2 linked regions of the Nothobranchius furzeri genome follow. The protein of the gene in region 1 interacts with the protein of each later gene in a biochemical or structural test. Links are inferred from orthologs where the notes say so. Each region holds a gene or a part of one and is shown on either strand. Other genes may lie near its edges.

Region 1 (3,926 bases):
TTTCAGTCAGAATAAGCTGTTAGTCAGAAATATTAACATGCTTTTTAGGTGCTTTACACTAAATCCACACTTCCATGAATTCCTTTCTAATCTAAAATTTCACTAAAACTTTTTCTCTGAGTTAATAAAAATATCACAGCAGAAAATGCATCTTAAACCCCTCGATATCTGCCAGAACACCGTTTTTATTTTAAAGATACTGCATGTCTGTGCCCTGGAGAGAACCCTTTCACTAAAACCTGTCGTTTAAAAAATAAAACCTGCCTTTAAATGAAGCAGTCATATGAATATTTTATGTCAAAGTAGCAGTCACGTGCACATTTTAAAGGTGAAGTAGGGCTGCACATATCAGCAAAAAGTGTCAGGCTAAAACAGGCGTGGTCTATTTTACTATAGATACTTAACTTTCACAGTTTTCAGACATCAGTTGAGACATGTTGAAAAAAGAAAGAAATGGTAGAGCTAAATTATATACGTGTGGGTTTTATTCTGAGTCCAGAGACAATGGTGAAGTTAGGTGATTCATTTGTCCTTGTGTTTCCTTTCCTGCTCTAAAGCGAGATTAGAAAATTATATGTTTAGCCGCTAGAGGGAGTCACTGGCGCGACTATTTAATTATTACAACTACCACAAGACAACAAAAATATAATAATAATAATAATAATAATAATAATAATAATAATTATTATTATTATTATTATTATTTCATAATTACCGTTGAATAAATCAAAGCAATACATAAATAATATTGATATGCTGTCTATCAAATAATCAGTGTTTTTATTCCTTAAATGTGGCTCTGTGTGATTCCAGCCAGGTAAAGCATGTAAAAATAAAAATGTGCATGATTTTACAAACACGTCAATTTTTCTTATAATAAGCTGATCATATATGCATTAGGCAGCAGCAAGAAAATTTTGTATAACGCAAATAAATTAACTGCTTTTCCATTTTTGGAGGGGGCTGGTCTCTTGTGACCCTAATGTGTCAACTAGCTGGAGACGTGGCAGCGCCTCGGGTCATATGATTTAGGCTCTTCCACGAACCCCACCCCGTTATTTCACACTCCATATATATATATATATATATATATATATATATATATATATATATATATATATATATATATATATATATATATAATTTGAAATCACTCCCGTGTTATCCTAAACTTCTACGTGTGCGCACATTTTAAAGTCTTATGAAATACTCTTTAAGCACCTAGGAGTTGATTCTAAAGGTGGGTTTCAGAGGAGTGACCACCCAAAACAGGGCCATTTTTAGACATTTTACTGCTGACGTTTACAGAGGCTTCAAATAGCTTCCGTTTGACTCTGGTAGTGATTGGACTGAGAGCTAATAACACACAGGCGGAACGCGTCCGACATTCTTCACTTCAATGGAGGAACAGCCCAAAGATCGGGCACAAGACAGGCACTACCACCACCACGGGGAGGACAGGAACTCTACTCAACGCACAGCTTGTCTGAAAAATGATCAGAGCCACTTCCAGTGCCAGCATCAGGAAACGCAGACGAAGAAAACAGGTCGGGCCGCCCTGAAAAGTCGGCTAATGTCAATGAGCCGACTAGCATTCGCTAGCTAACGTAACTGGGAGCCAGCTAGCTCCTAGCTGCTGCCCCGAATAGTTTTGAGGACGGGCGGAGCAGCTGGTTAATCAGACAGATAGTCAGCCAGTGTCACACGAGAAACCACACATTATACTCGCTATCTGCTGACGTTGCGTGAGCGTTGTCGCTGCTGGTGGTTTGACAGATCGCAGATTGACCTTGTGCGCCGGTGCCGTGCCGAAAAAAAGAACCCTTTATTAATTTTTCTAATATAAATGTAGATACTTGTGTCCTCAGCGGTCCAGAAAAACACGAGGAGGTATGTCATTTGTAACTTTTACTCGGTGTATTGGTAAAAGAACATACCTTGGGATTAGCTTTCTGCGCTAAGAGTGCTAGTGATGGCAGGGGCGCTTTTTTTCGGCACAACACCGGTTTCACCGCCTAATTTTAAATGGCTTATGTAGCTGAATATGTTCTAAAACACCGCTTATGTCCCTCTGTATTCTAAACAAAACAACTCTTCTGTAACAGTGGCCTAAATTGTACTGATGTTATTCCAGTTAGCTCTGTGCAGTGTAGGAAACCGAGCCGGCTCCGCTGGAATGTTCTGTGCAGCCATTTCCGGTCGGCCATGTCAGAATATCACAGTTAGCTAACGCAACACTAACCGGCTAGTTAGGAAAATATGGACAACAACGACACGGTGGACGTTTTTTTACGCGTCATTGTCGACCGGTACTGTGGTGTTATCGTTGTCCGCTACTAGCTAGGCGATATTAGCAGACATTAGCCATTTGACAGGCCCTTTTGAATGTTGTCTGGAGAAGCCACGCAGCTGATCAGGCTCTGTCAGCATTAAGCGAACGTAAGCTGACAGTCGCTGTAAAATGTACATTTGCTAAATGAAACTAATTGTTTTGGCTGTGACAGGAATGTGAGGTGTGTTGTGCCAATAAATGTTACTGGGGTGGAGAAGCACTGTGGAGTAGGAAGTCCCACGTTGACACAGCACTTCCCACGAATCTGAGCCTTCAGAGGCCTAGTCATGATGCTTCACTGTAAATCTGTGCTTCCTGTATCCATCCACCTTTCCTATGCGGTGTGCCATTAATACATTGTGATAATTGTAGCATAATAAGTGTTTGGCTAATCTTAAAACATCACTTTCCAAGAAACTGCAAACCATAAACGTATAGTTGTTAGATTTTGTGGTGTCTGTAGAGTCCTATCATTTCCACATCGTCTTATTTTCTTTCCTTTTTTTTTTAGGCAATAAAAAATTAAACGTTGGCGACGAGGAAGGAGAGAGGAATCTACGTCTGTCTGATCCTGTTGGTATGTCGCTTCCTTCCCACGGCAATGGTAACAAACATGCGCACAACGCCAGTCTAAAGCAAAAAGGGGCGCAGAAGCTCTACACGCCTGCTCCAAAAGCGAGCAGCAAATTTCTGGACCGTAAGAAGAATATGGACTTTAAAAATGACAAGGAAAAGACTCTGGATTTGACTCACGATGACCTCCAGAGCTTGGATAAGAAAGACTCTGTTTTGCTTCACAACGGTGTCGTAAATTGTGGCTTCATTACAAATGGCTATTCTAGCAGGGACAATGATGGCAGCGGATCCGAAGGCGGGTACACCACTCCGAAGAAACGCAAGACCAGGTGTAACAATGCCAAGAACACTGATAATGTGACAAAAGAAAAAGAGAGAGACATGCAGCCCCGCAACACTACACAGGAGCTGGGGGCTTTGAATCCTGAGGCGACTGAGAAAGGCAGATCTACCCAGTCTGCTGCCAAACGAGCTGTCGTTCCCGAGACTACAGTGGGGGAATCTCAAAGGAAAAACTCCGATGGCAAAACAGCTGGCACCTTTGGTAAGAAAACAGAGGAACGGCACAAAGGCAAACTCTCCTCTCCTTCAAAGGAGGACCCGTGGACTTTGTTCAAGCCCCCTCCCGTATTTCCTGTGGACAATAGCAGTGCTAAAATCGTTCCTAAGATCAGTTATGCAAGTAAAGTAAAAGAGAACCTCAATAAAGTAGCTCAAAGTGGAGAAGTGGTTCCTCCTCCCATGAGACTGTCTCAAGTCCCGATGTCTGCTATGAAAACTATCACCTCAGCTAGCTTTACTAATGGTCCTGTTTCTGGAAATGGAAACGGCTGCCCGTCTGCTGGCACCTTCTTCGTTCCTGCTGCTAGTTGTATTCAATCAGCCCTGTCTGTCCCAAGTGGCGAGAATGTAGCATCTTCTCTGGAAAGTAACTGTAGCTCAACAAGTCCTGTAGATGGAGACGCTAACGAGCTTAAAAAGTGTACTCTGTTAATCTACCCTTTAAATATGCAACCTG
Region 2 (3,826 bases), on another chromosome or scaffold:
AAAGCTACGTCACACCGACATGTCAGCTGTTTTATTAACTCACTGTTTCCCCTAGGAATTTTTCCAGCTGTGGCAGGGGGGGGGGATTATGCCACGTCTCTAAATAAAGTACAATTTTCCAGTGCAGATTGGAGACAACCCATAGAAGCACTGATTTGATCTCATTTCAGAGAAAAATAGAACAGGTCAGATGTACCTAATGAATGAAATTACTAACAAACTCAGGAATGTTTCTTTGCTTCACTGTTCTGGTGCTGAAAACATCACTAATGCGGATCAAAGGAGATACACGGATGAATGCACGTCTTATTTATTATTTGAGAATTACATTTAGACAGAGATTGTTTCTATCGATACACGAGTTTACAGAATCATTTTAAATGTTAATAGGGGAAGACTGCAGGAGGCAGCGGTAAAATACAGGGGGTCCCCAGCAAAAACAAGAAACCTTACGAGTCTGATGAAACCCGCTGGTTTTCCATCAGGCAGTCACGGGGCAGCTCCAACGACCCAGTGGCTGTGCTGGGTCATGTTATCGAGCTCAGTCCGGTACCGGCTCGGCCGTGAACGAGCCGAGGCGACGTCGTGCTCTGCTTAAGAAGAAGCGTTATTTTCCCGCTTCAGAAGAAGCGTCCAACGTGTTTTTACGCTTTCTCCGAGACATGTCACGTCGCTAATGTAGACATGTAGCGCTGCGCGCTAATACTTAGTGCAGCGTAGCCTGCTGGAGGTTTTAAGGGTTCGGATGAAACACCCGACCTCTCACGCTGCTCACACATCGATCTTAAGTTGTCGCTGTTGCGCTCACGCCGTAATACAGTATTAGATGTGGTTAAAGTCAGACATGAAGTAATAAATACATTTTACATGAATAAGTGATGATTAGCCTGGTGGGGGAGGAGAACCTGGCCTAATAAGCACTGGAGGAAACCCTGTCAGGATGGTCAGCACTCGTTTATCTTAATGCTGCTGAAACATGTAAACGTAAAAGCATTATATCCACTGCTACCTTTCTGATTTTAAACTCAGTAACTTATGCTGTAACTGCACCCTGCCCTGCCTGCTCCTTTCTTCTTGCTGCTCGCCGGCTGTGATCACAAGCGACAACAACATAGTAGTTCCCGCTGCTTCTTCGGGAAACAGTGCAAAAATAAATAAATAAATAAATAAATAAATAAAACTTGGGATCTTGTAGGCGTGGCGGCAAGATTTCAGCCGTGGCGGGCCGCCACGGCTACGCCTATGTAAGGGAAACCCTGTAACTACATAAAAAGGATCAAAGCAGTAACAGGAAGTGAGCTGATGCCATTTGTTGGAGAGCCCTGGCAACGACAGATACCGGCGTTGCGTGTCTCCATACCAACGCAGACGTATACATTAGGCCTTGAGGAATATTTGTAATCACACTTTAAAAGAATTATTTCAGCTATAATTGACAAGGTCCTTGTTTTTTAACGCTTTAGTGCGGTTCAGGGTTGACAAATCTGAATACTCTGCTTTTGTGCCGACACATTTATGCTATATTAGGCATGTCCCGATACAACTTTTTCACTTCTGATACGATACCAATATTGCAGCCTTTCAGTATTGACCGATACCGATATCTATCCGATACGATATCAGCACAAATCCTACATACCGGTTTTGTAGTGTGGAATGTATGAAAGGCTTGATCAAAAGATGTTACTTAATCAGAGAAGAAGAGCCAACAATAGTAAGTATGAAAAAAATGACAACATTTTTTAACCATTGGTTGCCAACAATGTGAACCTTAACGGACTGCTTACATCAGAGAGTTTTGATGCAGTCTGATATAATCCGATAGTGTTTTTGGGCTGATATCGAATTACTTCCGATATCGATATCGGAATGGGACATCCCTCTGCTATATTAATTATTATGATTACAATTAAAATGGAAAGGCTGAACTGCTGGAACAGTTTGTTCTGTGGGTTGGAGGTGAAAACTCTAAACCAGAGTTTTAGTGTTTTTGCCACCTAAAACATACTTGTCCTTCTATTTCCTGCCCTTTGGATGAATACCTGAACCTGCTTGTCCCTGAGGTTTGAACCCTTCTCACCTCCACTTCGTCGCTTTCGTTGATCTCTTTGCTGAAGCCCGCTGGAGGAGGGAAGCGGACATCCTGGAATGGGATCTGACGTTCCGGCTGCCAACTGGATCGGACAAACACAAACATTATTTAATCCTACTATTATTGCGTCAGATGTATTACTATAAAGCTTTACTGTCGTGTGTGTAAACATTATATTACTCACTTGTTTTCAAAAGCCACGGTGACAGATCCCTCGTGGACATCTTTGATAAAAGCCTACAAAAACCACAGAAATGAACAGAAATGTTCAACAAAGGGGGTGAGTGGCCACACCTCCACAGTGACGAACGAGGAGGTAGATGGATAACCAGCCCTACACGGTATCCAAGTATGTAATAAGTGCTAAATGATCACGATTCAGCTACATGCTTCCCAAACTGACAACAGCATGTAGCTGAAACACATATTAAAATGTGAAGCTGCAAGTTGTAGAATGAAGTAAACGACATCTTGTGGTCAAATTTGATTACAGCAATCTGTAGCGTCCAGCGATGGTCAGTTTTAGGTACAGTCTGACCTTTCAACATCTATTCAACACCTGGTCAGAAAGGAGACACAACACTGCATGTGTTCCCTTTAAATGAGCCTGCCTTCATACCAGCTGGGGCTCACAGACTCTGCAGCTCTGAAAGATAAACAATAACTTTCTTTCCCAAGGTCCCATCTGGCTGCCTCCACAGAAGGAACAACTCCAGCTCGAATGAGTTGCTAAATTCAAGAATGATTTACTAAATCAATATGAACTTCTTCCATGACTTATAATCTAGATAATCATTAAATAAACATTTGTTTATTACTACTTACAATAATTATAGTATAATGAAATGCTTCATTAATCTGTGCTCACTGAATGGATGTTATGTTATGTTTATGTCTACTAGAACCCGCCATGTGTTCAACATGTTTTGACGACGAGGTCCTCACGCCTGCACTCACAATAACAAGTACGGTTAAGTTAAACTCCAACACACAGAGACTTTTAAACCAGTCAGAACGTCCCGTATCAAGAAGGCATGTTTCTGAGTTGTCTTGGTAACATCTCTCAAACCTGTCAGCCTTTGATTGGCTGTGCAAATCATAACATCAAAACCTTAAAACTGGATCATCCTGAGTGATTCGAGGGTTCTGGAGAATCGCTTCAGACCGGCCACCTGTAGTAAACCTCTTTAGCCATCAAAGATTTTGACACGTCGTCAAAACCTTTTTGCACCTGCGAAGCTGATGAGCAAACAGCTCCTGCAGAAACAAAGCTGATACTGTGAGACTCCTTAAGAGTCTGCCAGACGCACGGTTCCATCCAGCTGTTATGACCCGAGACATCTCTGGACTGAAGAGTCGGTACCACGGTATTCTACAACCCTCCGGTGCCAAAGATCAGCCGACCCCTGCGACTTTCGGATCCACCAAGAGGGTCTCTCAAAAATGGGTGAAGTAGACATGATAGATTGCGTCTGATGTTCTTCTGATGATAACAACTTTATAGCTTAGAGCAAACCAAATTCTGTTCACCAGAACTCAGCTTACTTTGATAAGGAAGCTCTGACTGACACCGCATTCACACATTGGTTCTTTCATCACGTTTAGTTACATTCACTCACAGTAAATGCTTAGTTAATTAGTCATGTTTTAATTGTTTGCTAAATAAATTCTTACTTTTATAAACCTGACTCTTTCTTGAAGTAACACGAAGTGTGGTTGATCACTGAAAAAGCA

The links.
Region 2: the proteins of nufip2 (region 1) and fmr1 form a complex in vitro, tested with the Homo sapiens proteins (2 studies listed by BioGRID and IntAct, with this or other methods). The link is inferred for Nothobranchius furzeri from reciprocal best matches to the Homo sapiens genes NUFIP2 and FMR1.

Annotation. Positions count from the first base shown.
Region 1 is NC_091750.1:49,402,404-49,406,329, forward strand, and holds the start of nufip2 (FMR1-interacting protein NUFIP2), read left to right. Parts: upstream 1-1,303; 5' UTR 1,304-1,399; coding exon 1,400-1,547; intron 1,548-1,754; exon of another isoform or gene 1,755-1,890; intron 1,891-2,303; exon of another isoform or gene 2,304-2,439; intron 2,440-2,843; coding exon 2,844-3,926. UniProt on the Homo sapiens protein: Binds RNA.
Region 2 is NC_091741.1:30,646,245-30,650,070, forward strand, and holds part of fmr1 (fragile X messenger ribonucleoprotein 1), read right to left. Parts: intron 2,330-3,826; coding exon 2,277-2,329; intron 2,175-2,276; coding exon 2,081-2,174; intron 1-2,080.